Linked DNA regions of Macaca mulatta. The protein of the gene in region 2 interacts with the protein of the main gene of each other region in a pairwise test. Links are inferred from orthologs where the notes say so. Each region holds a gene or a part of one and is shown on either strand. Other genes may lie near its edges.

Region 1 (7,667 bases), about 2.7 Mb from region 2:
TGAGGCCTGAATTAAGGCAGTAGCAGTGGAGATAGAGACAGGGAGGGAGGATGGATAGTGTTAAAGTGATGCATCCAGCAGGATTTGGTGACTGACTATGTGGAGTTGAGAAAGAGGAAAAGAAAATCTAGTGTGATTCCCAGATTTCTGTCTGCAGTGTGCTGAGTGGTGCTATTAACAAGGATGGAGAGTATAGGAAGAATAATAGTTTGAGGGTGGTCAGGAAGAGGGAACTTGATGGTTATTTTAGACATAATGAATTCGTCAAAGTCCTATGAGACTTCCAAATGTATTTATTTGGCTGAGTGTGGTGGCTCACGCCTCTAATCCCAGCACTTTGGGAGGCTGAGGTGGGAGGATCACCTGAGGTCGGGAGTTCGAGACCAGCCTGACTAACATGGAGAAACCCTGTCTCTACTAAAAATACAAAATTAGCTGGGTGTGGTGGCGCATGTCTATAATCCCAGCTACTTGGGAGGCTGAGGCAGAAGAATTGCTTGAACCTGGAAGGCAGATGTTGCGGTGAGCCAAGATCGTGCCATTGCACTCCAGCCTAGGCAATAAAAGCGAAATTCCATCTCAAGAAACAAACACACACACAAATGTATTTATTCATTTAGCAGTTGGCTATGTTTGAGTGTGAAATTCAGAAGGGAGGTCTGTACTAGAGGTATCACTGTGGAGGTAGTCATTGATACAAAGGAGAATATTCAGGCAGTGCTTTCAAGTAACAAGATGCAATAATTAGCACATCAAGTTTATTATAGAAATTAAATAAAGGATGTTGATTGTTGATGTATCAAGTTACATTATCTGACCCCATAAATGTAGAGATATCTTGGAGAGATCTGCATTATATAACCTTCTCTAAGTGGTGCCTCTAGTCACTCCTAGTTACTTTGGATGTAGTTTCTCTCTTACTTTTCTTCCACTAGGCTTTGCTCATGTCAATAGTTTGGTTATGGTACCTTAAAAGATGCTAAAAACAAACAAACAAACACCTCCCACCCCAACGGCAAAATACACTGTTTCCAACAAGGGACGTCAACTTTTCAGTCAGCCTGGTTCTTCCTGTCTCAAACTATCTGCTGGTACTACTTTTTAGTCTTCTCAGGGTAATTCCATAATATGAATTAGTCGTGTACTTGTAGCCATACTATGCCATGGGCATTTAAAGTGTTTTTTTTTTTTTTTTTTTTTTTTGGAGATGGAGTGTTGTTCCATTGCCCAGGCTGGAGTGCAGTGGTGCAATTTCAGCTCACTGCAACCTCCGCCTCCCTGATTCAAGTGATTCTCCTGTCTCAGGCTCCTGAGTAGCTAGGATTACAGGTGCACCACCATGCCTGACTAATTTTTGTATTTTTAGTAGAGATGGGGTTTCACCATGTTGGTCAGGCTGGTCTCAAACTCCTGACCTCGTGATCTGCCCACCTTGTCCTCCCAAAGTGCTGGGATTACAGGCGTGAGCCACCACACACAGCCTAATTTTTTTGTATTTTTAGTAGAGATGGGGGTTTCACCACGTTGGCCAGGCTGGTCTCGAACTCCTGACCTCAGGTGATCTGTCTGCCTCGACCTCCCAAAGTGCTGGGGTTACAGGCATGAGCCACCATGCCCGGCCCATTTAAAGTTACGAAGGGAGCCAGGCGCGGTGACTCATGCCTGTAATCCCAGCACTTTGGAAGGCCGAGGCGGGTGTATCACAAGGTCAGGAGATCGAGACCATCCTGCTAACACAGTGAAACCCTGTCTCTACTAAAAATACAAAAAAAATTAGCTGGGCATGGTGGTGGGCGCCTGTAGTCCCAGCTTCTCAGGAGGCTGAGGCAGGAGAATGGTGCAAACCTGGGATGCAGAGCTTACAGTGAGCCGAGATTGCACCTCTGCACTCCAGCCTGGGAGAGAGAGTGAGACTCTGTCTCAAAAACAAAAAAAAAGTTATGAAAGGAGTGGACATTTATTTTTATTCAGTTTCTTCTCAAGGTGAAGGTAACTGTTTGTAAATGTCCTAGAGAAATATGGTAGCTTTCTGTTCACCCTTTGCAAGTAAAAAGCGTGGATTATTCCACCGCTGACATTTAAAAAATAAAGTTATGAAGGGAAGTCTGGTGTAATACAGTAGTAGCAAGTGGTGGTGTAAATAAATAAGTAGCAAGAATTACTTTCCTTTGAGGTGAGGAGAGTTGTCGATTCATTTCCATGGTAGAAGCTGCTAAGCAGTCCTGGGAAGTTTGGAGTTTAAATATAATGGGAAACTAGTCAGAGTTTAAAGTATATTTATTTTATTTATTTTGAGATAGATTGAAACAAATTTCTTAACCCCATGCTGTGAATATTAATTTTTTCATGATTTATGTAGTTTGTTTATCGATGGACACTTTTACAACAGGATTTATGAAGCTGGGTCGGAGAACAACACGGCAGTTGTAGCAGTAGAAACTCACACGATACACAAAATTGAAGAAGGGATTGGTAAGGTTTTTTTTTGTTTTTTTTGTTTTTGTCATTCTAATGCCTTTGACTTTAGCTTCCTTGGTTGAGTTTTCTTGCCATCTGTGCCTTATGTTTTTCTCCCATCCCTGTGTGCCCTACCAGTACTACAGCCCTCGATTTTGATGGTGGTACATCTTGAGACACCACTGACTTAAGATGCTAGGGTCATCAGTTGGTTGGTTAACGTCAGTTTGGAAGGGTAACTGAAAAGACTTTTTATCTATAAAAATCCCACATAGAAATTGGAGCCTCAAAGTTGATACCTGTCATTAAAGAAGTTGTTGATGACTGATAAGGTATTGTTTAGAAGGCAGTCAGTGGAAAGAAACTGGAAAGAAACTTTGAAATTTAACAAATCTGAGTTGAAATCCCAATTTCTCACCTCTAAGTGTGTCCTTGGGAAAGTCAGTTAACCTGAGGCCCATATACTTATATTTAACACCTAGGAAACAATTAATTAATTAATTAATTTTAAAAAAAACCTAATCGAGCACAGTGGCTCATGCCCGTAATCCCAACACTTTAGGAGGCCAAGGCGGGGGATCACCTGAGGTCAGGAGTTTGAGACCAGCCTGGCCAACATGGCGAAACCCCATCTCTACTAAAAGTATAAAAATTAGCCTGGCGTGGTAGTGGGCGCCTATAATCCCAGTTACTCAGGAGACTGAGGCAGGAGAATTGCTTGAATCCGGGAGGCATAGGTTGCAGTGAGCTGAGATTGTGCCACTGCACTCCAGCCTGGGCAACAAGAGTGAGACTTCATCTCCAAAACAACAACAACCACCAAAAAAACACCACCTACACCGGGCGAGGTGACTCACGCCTGTAATCCCAGCACTTTGGGAGGCCAAGGCGAGTGGATCACTTGAGGTTAGGGGTTCAAGACCAGCCTGGCCAAGATGGTGAAACCCCATCTCTACTAAAAATATAAAAATTAGCCAGCGTGGTGGTGTGTGGTATATGGCTGTAATCCCAGCTACTTGGAAGGCTGAGGCAGGAGAATTGCTTGAACCCGGAGGCATAGGTTGCAGTGAGCCAAGATCATGCCACTGCACTCCAGCCTGGGTGATAGCGTGAGACTCCATCTCAAAAAAGGCAAAAAGAAAAAAAAAAACACCTAGGAAATAATCACTGCCTCACAGGATTGTTGTAAGAACGGTGTCTGGCACACTGTGGGAGCTTGGGAAGAGAGAGCTGTTAGGCCAGACTTCTTCCAGAGGATCCCTAAACGATACCAGCAAGAGTGAAGTGTTAGTCCCTCAGAGGAACCAGGAGACTAGAGATTTTGAGTTTCAGCTTTGGGGAAGAGTTGTTTGATAAATAACGGATTTTTTTTCTGTTTTCAGATACAGGCACTATAGAAGCAAATGAGGATATGGAAATTGCTTACCCTATAACTTGTGGGGAGAGCAAAGCCATCCTCCTCTGGAAGAAGTTTGTGTGTCCGGGAATAAATGTGAAGTGTGTCAAGGTAATTGTCTTCTCCATGCTGAAGCCAATTTTGGGACTCCTTGTTTTCAAAGGGTGTCAGTTCCATGCATCCTTTTTCTCTTGCACTAGATCAGGTTTTTTTTTTGATGGCTATTGTTCTAATGTGTCACAATAGAAAAAATAAGAACTTTGGGTTGGATGTGGTGGCTCATACCTGTAATCCTAACACTTTGGGAGACCAAGGTGGAAAGATCACTTGAGCTTAGGAGTTCGAGACCAGCCTGGGCAACATGGTGAGACATTGCGTGACTTTCTCTGTTGCCCAGGCTAGAGTGCAATGACACGATCTTGGCTCACTGCAGCCTCCACCTCCTGGGTTCAGGTGATTCTCCCACCTCAGCCTCCTGTGTAGCTGGGACCACAGGTGTGCACCACTGTGCCTGGCTAATTTTTGTAGAGATGGAAGGTTTTGCTATGTTGCCTGGGCTGGAAAACCTTGCATCTTCAAAAAATATATTGGCGGCCAGGCGCGGTGGCTCACGCCTGTAATCTCAGCACTTTGGGAGGCCGAGGCGGGCGGATCACGAGGTCAGGAGATCGAGACCATCCTGGCTAACACGGTGAAACCCCGTCTCTACTAAAAATACAAAAAATTAGCTGGGCGTGGTGGCAGGTGCCTGTAGTCCCAGCTACTCGGGAGGCTGAGGCAGGAGAATGGCGTGAACTCAGGAGGCGGAGCTTGCAATGAGCTGAGATCGCACCGCTGCACTCCAGCCTGGGCGACAGAGCGATACTCTGTCTCAAAAAAATATATATATATACTGGCTAGGTGAGGTGGCTTATGCCTGTAATCCCAGCACTTTGGGAGGCTGAGGTGGGTGGATCACCTGAGATCAGGGGATAGAGACCAGCCTGGACAACATGGTGAAGTCCCATCTCTACTAAAAATACAAAAATTAGCCAGGCATAGTGTTGGGTGCATATAATCCCAGCTACTGCGGAGACTGAGGCAGGAGGATCACTTGAACCTCGGGGCAGAGTTGCAGTGAGCTGAGATTGCGCTGTTGTACTCCAGTCTGGGTGACAGAGTGATGCTCTGTCTCAAAAAAAAAAAAAAAAATTATTAGATTGACTAGCCAAAAACAAAATTGATAAAAATAGAATTGCTTATGCTGTCTTCATTAGGGCTGGATAGATTATTTCAGTTTATTTGAACAGCCTTTGTTTGCCACACGAGACCCAACCACCTGATTCCAGGCATAAATGGATTTTAGAGATTTATTAATATATTTATCTCTTATCTCTGCATGTATTCTGTGGCTTTGTACCAGGAATGGAGACTGTGCTCTGAGAAGCATCGTCTTCTCTAACACAATAGTGCAGGAGTTTGGATAGTCAAGGCTTAGGATGTCATCTGGGTATTTTTTATGCAAATGATGTAGAGTTACCATTTCATTATTTCCCCTCTTGGCCTGCCTAAGTTGACATTAGACTATTTTGGACTTTTCTTTTTACTTTTAGTTCAATGATCAGTTGATCAGCCCCAAGCACTTTGTTCATCTGGCTGGCAAGTCCACTCTGAAGGACTGGAAGAGAGCTATTCGTCTGGGTGGGATCATGCTCAGGTAAGCTCTAATGTTAAGCACATACCTTTCAACAAACTTTGGGGCACGTAATCATGCTAGAATCTGGGTTTTTCTCTTTAGGTTGACATTTTTATTCTTTCTGAGAAATTGGCTTGAGCAATCCATGCATTATTTGACTTTAATCAACTTATTCTTTTTTTTTTTTTTTTTTTTTTTTTTTTTTTTTTTTTTTTTTTTTGAGACGGAGTCTCGCTCTGCCGCCCAGGCTGGAGTGCAGTGGCCGGATCTCAGCTCACTGCAAGCTCCGCCTCCCGGGTTCCCGCCATTCTCCTGCCTCAGCCTCCCCAGTAGCTGGGACTACAGGCGCCCGCCACCTCGCCCGGCTAGTTTTTTTGTATTTTTTAGTAGAGACGGGGTTTCACCATGTTAGCCAGGATGGTCTCGATCTCCCGACCTCGTGATCCGCCCGTCTCGGCCTCCCAAAGTGCTGGGATTACAGGCTTGAGCCACCGCGCCCGGCCTTTTTTTTTTTTTTTTTTTTGAGACGGAGTCTCGCTGTGTCTCCCAGGCTGGAGTGCAGTGGCGTGATCTCGGCTCACTGCAAGCTCCGCCTCCCGGGTTCACGCCATTCTCCTGCCTCAGCCTCCCGAGTAGCCGGGACTACAGGCGCCCGCCACCACGCCTGGCTAGTTTTTTTTATTTTTAGTAGAGACGGGGTTTCACCATGTTAGCCAGGATAGTCTCGATGTCCTGACCTCGTGATCCACCCGCCTCGGCCTCCCAAAGTGCTGGGATTACAGGCTTGAGCCACCGCGCCCGGCCAATCAACTTATTCTTAAAAATCCTGGGAGACAAGAAAGATTTTTTGTTTGTTTGTTTTTGAGACAGAGTCTTGCTCTGTCACCCAGGCTGGAGTGCAGTGGCGTGACCTTGGCTCACTGCAACCTCCGCCTCCTGGGTTCAAGCAATTGTAGTTTTTAGTAGAGACAGGATTTCACCATCTTGGCCAGGCTGGTCTTGAACTCCTGACCTCATAATCCACCCACCTCAGCCCCCCAAAGTGCTGGGATTACAGGCATGAGCCACTGTGCCCGGCCATTTAATTCTTTTTTTTTTTTTTTTTTTTTTTTTTTGAGACAGAGTCTCGCTCTGTCGCCCAGGCTGGAGTGCAGTGGCTGGATTCAGCTCACTGCAAGCTCCGTCTCCCGGGTTTACGCCATTCTCCTGCCTCAGCCTCCCGAGTAGCTGGGACTACAGGCGCCGCCACCACGCCCGGCTAGTTTTTTGTATTTTTTTTAGTAGAGACAGGGTTTCACCGTGTTCGCCAGGATGGTCTCGATCTCCTGACCTCGTGATCCGCCCGTCTTGGCCTCCCAAAGTGCTGGGATTACAGGTTTGAGCCACCGCACCTGGCCCATTTAATTCTTTTTAATGGGGGGAAAAAATAAAATTTTAAAAAATAAATAAAAAATTAAAAAATAAAAATAATTATTTTTAAGGAATCTCTTTCAAGAAAAATCCATAATGGGCCGGGCGCGGTGGCTCAAGCCTGTAATCCCAGCACTTTGGGAGGCCGAGACGGGCGGATCACGAGGTCAGGAGATTGAGACCATCCTGGCTAACACGGTGAAACCCCGTCTCTACTAAAAAATACAAAAAAAACTAGCCGGGCGAGGTGGCGGGCGCCTGTAGTCCCAGCTACTCGGGAGGCTGAGGCAGGAGAATGGCGTGAACCCGGGAGGCGGAGCTTGCAGTGAGCTGAGATCCGGCCACTGCACTCCAGCCTGGGCGACAGAGCGAGACTCCGTGTCAAAAAAAAAAAAAAAAAAAAAAAAAAGAAAAATCCATAATGCTTATAGAGATTCAAGCATAAAGATGTTTATTACAACATTATTTATTAATGTGAAACTTACAGTCTGCTTTAATATATAGTCAAAGACTTCTAAAGTCAATTATGACCTGTCTAAATATATATGAGTATATACTGTGAATGTTTTGCCGTCATTAAAATATTTCTGAAGAGATTTTACATGAAAAATGCTTATGACATAATTTGAAGGAAGAAAAACAGAAAATTTATTAAATTGATTTTGGCTGTGTTAAGACATATATGTAAGTAAAATTTAGTAGAAGAAAATATGCTAAAATGTTGACGTT
Region 2 (8,306 bases):
GGTAGCCCAGGGCTGTCCAACAGCCCAGCACAAGCCTGACTTCTAGTCCAGAGATTCTTCCAAGGGCCCAAGTGTCTTCCTTTACTTTCTCCTGTAACATATATGCTTAGAACTACCTTTCTTTCTTGAGACCTTCCAACCTGTTATTTGTGCTTCTCTTGGGACATCAGTCATTTCCTAACCTAGATTCATTGGGGTTTGGGGGGGATTTTTTTGTTGTTGTTTTCTTTTGATTTTTTGCCCAGGCTGGAGTGCAGTGGTATGATCTCAGCTCACTGAAACCTCCGCCTCCCGGATTCAAGCAATTCTCACACCTCAGCCTTCTGAATAGCTGAGATTACAGACGTGCACCACCATGCCCAGCTAATTTTTGTATTTTTAGTAAAGATGGGGTTTTACCATGTTGGCCAGGCTAGTCTCGAACTCCTGGCCTCACATGATCCTTCCACCTTAGCCTCCCAAAGTGCTGGGATTACAGGCATGATCCCCTGCACCCAGTTTTTTTTTTTTTCTCCTTTTCTTTTCTTTTCTTTTCTTTTTTTTTTGGAGACAGTGTCTCACCGTATTGTCCAGGCTGGAGTGCAGCAGCAATTCACAGACACACTGCAGCCTTGAACTCCTGGGCTGAGCAATCCTCCTGCCTCAGCCTCCCCAGTAGCTGCAACTGGTGCATACCACCATGCCTGGTGTAGATTCGATTTTTTTAGCTTCTGTCGCCATCTAGACTATATACTCATTGAGAGCCAACACTACCTTCGATTCCCAGCCCCGAACAGAACAGGCATCTTGCAAATGTCAAATGGTGACTGTCCCCATCAGTGTCAATGCCTCACCTCCAAACAGCCTTACATGACTGATCGCACACTGGGCTCTACTGTCCTCTTAAGTTCTTAAATAAACCCCTTTCCAGGCTTGTCTTTTTGCATCTTTTACCCCAGGGTCCTTATGCTGGCAGGGGTCTGCCATTGCCACCTGCCTCCATCCCCTTATAAAGGGATGGCAGGGAATGCAGAGGTGAGGCAAGAGCCTGAGGGTCTGGTTCCTCCCAGATGCCCACCCTCTCGAGTTTCGACTTTGGCGTCGGGGTTCATATCCAGATTGTTCTTCCACATTCATTTTTGTGATTCTGGACAAGTGATTTCACTCTCTTGCCTGGGATTCCTCCCAGAGCTATTGCAATCATGGTAGAAATTGTCTGTAATGAATGTGGAGTGCCCGGCACAGAGCAGACTCTCAATAGAGGGCAGCTGTCGTTGCCATTCAACTATGCGGAAAGGCCTCAAAGGTTCACACACAACGCGCTCTTCATAGGTTGGCACTGGGTGGGCTAACATTGGTGTGGAATTGATTTTATTATTCCTTATGATCAACAATATGTTTGCATTTTGTAGTGTTGCGCTCTAGCAACATGAGAAGCAATCTAGCACAGTAATTAAGAATATTCACTGGCCAGCCGGGCATGGTGGCCCACGCCTGTAATGCCAGCACTTTGGGAGGCCAAGGCGGGTGGATCACCTGAGGTCAGAAGTTCAGGACCAGCCTGGCCAACGTGGTGAAATCCTGTCTCTACAAAAAATACAAAAATTAGCTGGGTATGGTGGTACATGTCTGTAATCCCAGTATTTTGGGAGGCCAAGGCGGGCAGATCACCTGAGGTCAGGAGTTTGAGACCAGCCTGGCCAACGTGGTGAAACCCTGTCTCTACTAAAAAACAAAACTTAGCTGGGCACGTTGTCACATGCCTGTAGTCCCTGCTACACAGGAAGCTGAGGCAGGGGAATCGCTTGACCCCAGGAGGCAGAGATTGCAGTGAGCCAAGATCGCACCACTGCTCTCTAGCCTAGGCGACAGAGCAAGACTCTGCCTCAAAAAAAAAAAAAAGAAAATTCCCACACCCTCTCTTTCTTAGCTCTACCACTTGCTAGCTGTGTGGTCTTGGAAAAATCCCTTGTCCTCTCTGAGCTTCAATTTCCTCATGGTAAAATGGAGACGGGAATGCCTTCCTGGGTTACTATAAGAAATAGATAGGGAGGCCGGGCGCGGTGGCTCACGCCTGTAATCCCAGCACTTTGGGAGGCCGAGGCGGGCGGATCACAAGGTCAGGAGATTGAGACCACGGTGAAACCCCGTCTCTACTAAAAATACAAAAAATTAGCCGGGCGCGGTGGCGGGCGCCTGTAGTCCCAGCTACTCAGGAGGCTGAGGCAGGAGAATGGCGTGAACCCGGGAGGCGGAGCTTGCAGTGAGCCGAGATCGCGCCACTGCACTCCAACCTGGGCGACAGAGCGAGACTCCGTCTCAAAAAAAAAAAAAAAAAAAGAAATAGATAGGGAAAATGCCTGAAAGTACTTCATACAGCGCCTGCACACAGTAGGTACCCAATAAATAGTTGATACATTAATCATTTTCCATTAATATCTTATTTGACAGCCACAATAACAGATCTTACTGTTTCTGTTTGCAGACAGAGGAAATGAAACTCTAAAGGCTTACCCAAGATGGTACAGTACATCAGTCACAGAGGCTGACTAGCAAGCACAGTTCCCCAGGCCAGGGTTTTTTTACCTGAGATCTGGTCTGTCACCTTCCCTTGGACTGGGCAGTGCTTGCAGGCAGATGCTTGGTGAAGGTTTTAGACCTTAAAGGCTGTGAGTCAGCACTCCTGGAGTCTTACCAGGATGTCCTGGTTTGTAAAAATCTTTCCTGTAGCTGTGTCTCTCCCAAATTTTTGTGGTGTGTGTGTGTGTGTGTGTGTGTGTGTGTGTGTGTTTAAATGGAGTCTCACTCTGTCACCCAGGCTGGAGTGTAGTGGCACGATCTCTGCTCACTGCAACCTCTGTCTCCCTGGTTCAAGCAATTCTCCTGCCTCAGCCTCCTAAGTAGCTGGGATGACAGGCATGCGCCACCACGACCGGCTAATTTTTGTATTTTTAGTAGAGATGGGATTTCACCATGTTGGCCAGGCTGGTCTCCAACTCCTGACCTCAAGTGATCCACCCACCTTGGCCTCCCAAAGTGCTGGGGCTACAGGCATGAGCCACTGCGCCTGGCCTCCCAGTTTTTTTGTCTGTTTGTTTGAGGCATAGTCTCACTCTGTCACCCAGGCTGGAGTGCAGTAGCACGATCATGGCTGTGCAACCTTGACCTCCCTGGCTCAACAATTCTCCTGAAGAGCTGGGACTGCAGGCATGCCCCACCACGCCCAGCTAGTTTTTAACCTTTGTAGAAACAGGGTCTCTCTATGTTGCCCTGACTGGTCTTGAACTCCTGGCCTCAAACAATCATCCCACCTTGGCCTCCCAGAGTGTTGGGATTACGAGCGTGAGCCACCACACCTGGCCCTCTCTCCCCAGTTTAAGGCTAACCCTGCACAACCTCCACCAGTTACACATTCTGCCTCTGAATGAGCTGCTATTTTATTAGCAGGGAGACTCAGAGCTAGATCAACTGGGCCAGCTCCCAGCTCTTTCACTTTCCAGCTGGAAAACCTTAGCTAATTGACTTCACCTCTTGGGCAGTTTCCTCACCTGTGAAATGAGGATAATAAAGTCATGCCTGATTCATAGAGTTATCGGAAGGTACTAAGATGAAGCATTCCCCGTGCCTGACAGTTCCTCGTGGCACACAGGAAAGTAGCTGTTGCTATCCTTATAGACAACCTGGCTGTTTCTCACTGGGCATTTTCTCTGCTGACTGGAGCCACTTAGCTGGCCCCAGGGCCTTTCTCTCCCTCTCACATCTCATCTTTCCCCCAGTCTCTGTCTTGGTATCGCCTGGAAGGGCAGCCTAATGTCTGGACCCCTTCCCATCTGCTGAGTGATCCTGAGCGCCGAGTTGGGGTGTATGGGTCTCCAATCCTGTCTCTGAACTGGCTCGTGTAGCTAGTCCAGCTAGAGGCCTGGATCCTGAGCAGATGAAGGAAGGGGAAGGAGCTTGGGGGAGCTGGGCACAGCATGGCTGAGAAGGAGGATGGGCCCCCAGCAGGCATGAGAACCGACCTGGAGCACTCCTGTTTGTAGATGTCAATGATGTTCTCCACCAGCAGGTTCCTCTGCAGGCCGTACACTCCGTGACGATCCATGATCACCTCGTGGCGGCAGGTGGGGCAGCGGAAACGGCCTCCAGACATGGATACCGAGCTGCCCCGGCCGGTCCAGTAGGGATTTGCAGCCTGCAGGTGGCAAAGGTCAAGGTGAGGCCTGGGCTCCCTCCTCAGCCCTTCCCCTTTCTAATCTCCTCTTATCCTTTCCTCTGCCTGCCCCAACCACCCCAGTCAAACCTAATGACCTGGAGCTCCGCAGGCTGTGATGAGAACCAGTCCTCACATACAGAGCACCTGAGATGCAGCTAAGCAATCGTCAGGATGGGGAGGCAGGAGACCTGGGTTCAAGTCATGTTAATTCTCTGAGTGATTTTGGGCAAGCAACCTTATCTCTCTAAGCCTCAGTTTGCCCACTTATGAAATGGGTATTACAATGAGAGCAAGCTCCTAAGGCTGCTACTTTAAAGATAATATCGTGAAAGAACATTTTGTAAAGTGTCCCTGGGGAACCTCGCATCCTGCCTCCCAGCCAGGACACCTACCCCCTTCCTTTCTTGGGGATTTGGAGCCGCTTCTGTCCCCATATTGTAGGGAACAGCCTCGAAAGGGAAGACGCCTCTACTGCCCACTGCCTCCCTGACACCCTCCTCCCAAAGCTCTGGGCCTCTTGCCACCAGGACCTGGCTCCAGCCCCAGGGGTCTGGTTTCTCTCTCCTGTCCCTGCCTTCCCCGCTTATCACTTGAGGCATTTGACTCTTGATTGGAGAGTCAACAGCAGTGCTCAGGGCAGGGGTGGGGGAGCTGTGGGCAGGGTGGGGAGGGGAAACGCGTCATGGAGAAGAACTGCAACAGCTAGAGCTGCCTCCCATCCCCTCTCAGCCCTGTCTAGAGGCCTCTGCAGGGGTTCACTTCCAAGGGAAAAGAGTTAGAAGGCTAAGGGAGAAGAAGGGCTTCATTCGGAAAGCCGAGTAGCCACCTGGGACCCCCGGATGAGGCTGCACCCGGCACTGACCTGGAAGATGTCATTGGCACACTTCCGGCACAGGTTGTGCTGGCACGGCAAGATGACCACTGGCTTGGTAAACATCTCCAGGCAAATAGGGCAGATCAGCTGCTTCTCCAGGTTCTCCATGGGGTTCCCATCCTGGATCAGGCTCGACTTATAATCCATTCTGTGGGCAGGAGTGAGAGCCGCGCCTAGCTGCCTCCTCTACTGACTTTGCTCTAAGTAGACCTGGGGAGTCTTGCCTTTGTCACGAAACACCAGGTCGGATCCTGTTGGCTTCCTTCTCCTGGTGCCCGAATTCTGTCTTGGTCTGAGGCCCCTCTGATATTTATAGCTAGATCTTGGTCACATGAGCTCCAGGAGGGGACCAGCTGAGCATTCCGATGCCAAGCGGCTGGTGGGGCTTGAGTTTCCTCCAGGCCTGAAAGACTGGCCCTCTCGAATCACATGCAGGGATGAGCAATCGCTGTTCTTCTGGGACGGGGGTCATAAACAAGAACAGCCTGTTCAGAGGCAGGCTTAGGGGAAGACTGGGTACCCAGAGCTTCCTCCAGAAATTGGTCTCCCCCCGGCACCAGGCTAGCGGGTCAGGGATAGGACCCAGCAAGTGAGCCACTGGGATTCAAAGGGTTAATAGCCAATGCTATGATGAAAATGTCGAACATTTTTCTGAGTACTGGTGTACATCAGGTAACTAATATACATCACAATGTGACAGATGGATGAGTGATTTGTTTCCCTGCCCTGAGAAACTCACAGCCCAGGAAGGGAGATAGAAAGGATCGTGCAGTGGTGCGATCTCTGCTCACTACAACCTCTGCCTCCCAGGTTGAAGCCTCCCGACCCCAACCCCCTCCCAGCCCCGCTCAACCCCTCACTGACCTAAATCAATTCCATCCCCTCTTCTGGAGTCCTGAGCAGCTCCTAGATGGAAGGGTCAGGCAGCCCTCTCTCTGAGCTCATCCCTCTGCCTCAGACCTCAGCACAGCATTTTGCTGGAGACAGTGGAGACCCCCACCCCAGCCAGCCCATCCTCCATCCCTTGGCCACTTATTTCACTCAGTGCTGAAAGGCCTCCCTTGAAACGCAGTCCAGTCCCCTCATCTTATAGATTTTGAAATGGGACTAGAGAAGAAAAGGATTATATTCAAAGTCAGTTAGAAAGTAAGTGACAGCCGGGTGTGGCGTCTCACACCTGTAATCCCAGCACTTTGGGAGGCTGAGGCAGGTGGATCACGAGGTCAGCAGTTCAAGACTAGCCTGGCCAACATGGTGAAACCCCATCTCTACTAAAAATACAAAACTTAGCTGGGTGTGGTGGTGCGAGCCTGTAATTTCAGCTACTCGGGAGGCTGAAGCAGGAGAATCACTTGAACCCGAGAGGCAGAGATTGCAGTGAGCTGAGATGGCGCCACTGCACTCCAGCCTGGGCGACAAGAGAGAAACTCTATCTCAAAACAAAACAAAACAAAAAAAAAAAAAAAAAAGAAGAAGAAAGTAAGTGGCAAAGCCAGACATTTTATTCATTCATCAGACATGTTTCTGAGTACTAGTATACATCAGGCAACTAGTATACATCACAACATGACAAATGGATGAGTGATCTGTTTCCCTGCCGCAAGAAACTCACAGCCGAGGAAGGCAGATAGAAAGGAAAAACCTGCCGGGTGCGGTGGCTCACGCCTATAATCCCAGCACTTTGGGAGGCTGAAGTGGGCAGTCGGATTGCCTGAGGTCAGGAGTTTGAGACCAGCCTGGCCAACATGGCGAAACCCTGTCTCTACTAAAAATACAAAAATTAGCTGGGTGTGATGGCACACACCTGTCATCCCAGCTACTCGGGAGGCTGAGGCAGGAGAATTGTTTGAACCCAGGAAGTGGAGGTTACAGTGAGCGGAGATCGTGCCACTGCACTCCAGCCTGGTGACAGAGTGAGACTCTGTCTCAAAAAAAAGAAAAGAAAGGAAAACCCCTCATGCGGTGCCACAAAGCCCTGCCTGGACACTTAGAAGGCTTCCCTCAGCTCTCTGCACACATTTTAACTTTTCTCCGTATTTCTTAGGACATCTTCCACATTGGCAGGTAGAAGTCATTAGAGCAGTTCCAGTGGCTGTTTTGTTTTGTTTTGTTTTGTTTTTTCGAGACGGAGTTTCACTCTGTTGCCCATGCTGGAGTGCAGTCGTGCCATCTCAGCTCACTGCAACCTCCGCTTCCCAGGTTGAAGCGAGTCTCCTGACTCAGCCTCCTAAGTAGCTGGGACTACAGGCGTATGTCACCACACCCGACTAATTTTTGTATTTTTAATAGAGATGGGTTTTTACCATGTTAGCCAGGCCGGTCTCCAACTCCTGACCTCAGGCAATCTGACTGCCTCGACCTCCCAAAGTGCTGGGATTACAGGTGTGAGCCACTGTGCCTGGCCTCCAGTAGCTGTTTTTAAGGTAGCATCTAATGAAAGGACCCTGGGGTCATCCGGTCCAAGGTGATGAGGCAGAGATATGGAGCAATGGTATCAGGTCCCAAAATAAGTCTAAGAGGCCATGGAATACTCAGGAGAGGTATGAAGGATTTCAAGAAAGAGGAATGACGGGAAAAATGAGACAAGACATAGAGCGGAGAAGCAAACCTTGGAAGAGAGGAAATGGGAGAAGAAGAAGAGGAACAAGTTACAGAAAAAGGAAGAGGCCTTAAAAACAAAGGGCTGGCCGGGCACGGTGGCTCAAGCCTGTAATCCCAGCACTTTGGGAGGCCGAGACAGGCGGATCACGAGGTCAGGAGATCGAGACTATCCTGGCTAACACTGTGAAACCCCGTCTCTACTAAAAAAATACAAAAAACTAGCCAGGCGAGGTGGCGGGCGCCTGTAGTCCCAGCTACTTGGGAGGCTGAGGCAGGAGAATGGCGTGAACCTGGGAGGCGGAGCTTGCAGTGAGCTGAGATCCGGCCAGTGCACTCCAAGCCTGGGCGACAGAGCGAGACTCCGTCTCAAAAAAAAAAAAACAAAAAACAAAGGGCTGGAGGATTTTGAGGAGAGAGTTGCCCCCCAAAATTTTGCTGAGCACTTAGGTTTTGCTGAGCACTTACTATGTGCTATGCATTGTGCTAAATGCTTTGTATGCTTTATTTCATTTCACCATCTCAACAGCCAATAACAAAAGACCCATAATATCCCCACTCCACAAGTGAGGAAACTCAGGCACACAGGTAAAATACTTGTATGAGGTCACACAGAGAGCACGAGGTGGCTCTAGGACATGA

The links.
Region 1: the proteins of TRIM63 (region 2) and GMEB1 interact in a two-hybrid assay, tested with the Homo sapiens proteins (2 studies listed by BioGRID and IntAct). The link is inferred for Macaca mulatta from reciprocal best matches to the Homo sapiens genes TRIM63 and GMEB1.

The regions. Positions count from the first base shown.
Region 1 is NC_133406.1:212,204,547-212,212,213, reverse strand, and holds part of GMEB1 (glucocorticoid modulatory element-binding protein 1), read left to right. Parts: intron 1-1,950; exon of another isoform or gene 1,951-2,080; intron 2,081-2,359; coding exon 2,360-2,472; intron 2,473-3,839; coding exon 3,840-3,964; intron 3,965-5,445; coding exon 5,446-5,549; intron 5,550-7,143; exon of another isoform or gene 7,144-7,353; intron 7,354-7,667. UniProt on the Homo sapiens protein: Trans-acting factor that binds to glucocorticoid modulatory elements (GME) present in the TAT (tyrosine aminotransferase) promoter and increases sensitivity to low concentrations of glucocorticoids. Also binds to the transferrin receptor promoter.
Region 2 is NC_133406.1:214,947,051-214,955,356, reverse strand, and holds the start of TRIM63 (E3 ubiquitin-protein ligase TRIM63), read right to left. Parts: upstream 5,352-8,306; 5' UTR 5,214-5,351; coding exon 5,055-5,213; intron 4,172-5,054; coding exon 3,999-4,171; intron 2,200-3,998; exon of another isoform or gene 1,651-2,199; intron 1,516-1,650; exon of another isoform or gene 528-1,515; intron 1-527. UniProt on the Homo sapiens protein: E3 ubiquitin ligase. Mediates the ubiquitination and subsequent proteasomal degradation of CKM, GMEB1 and HIBADH.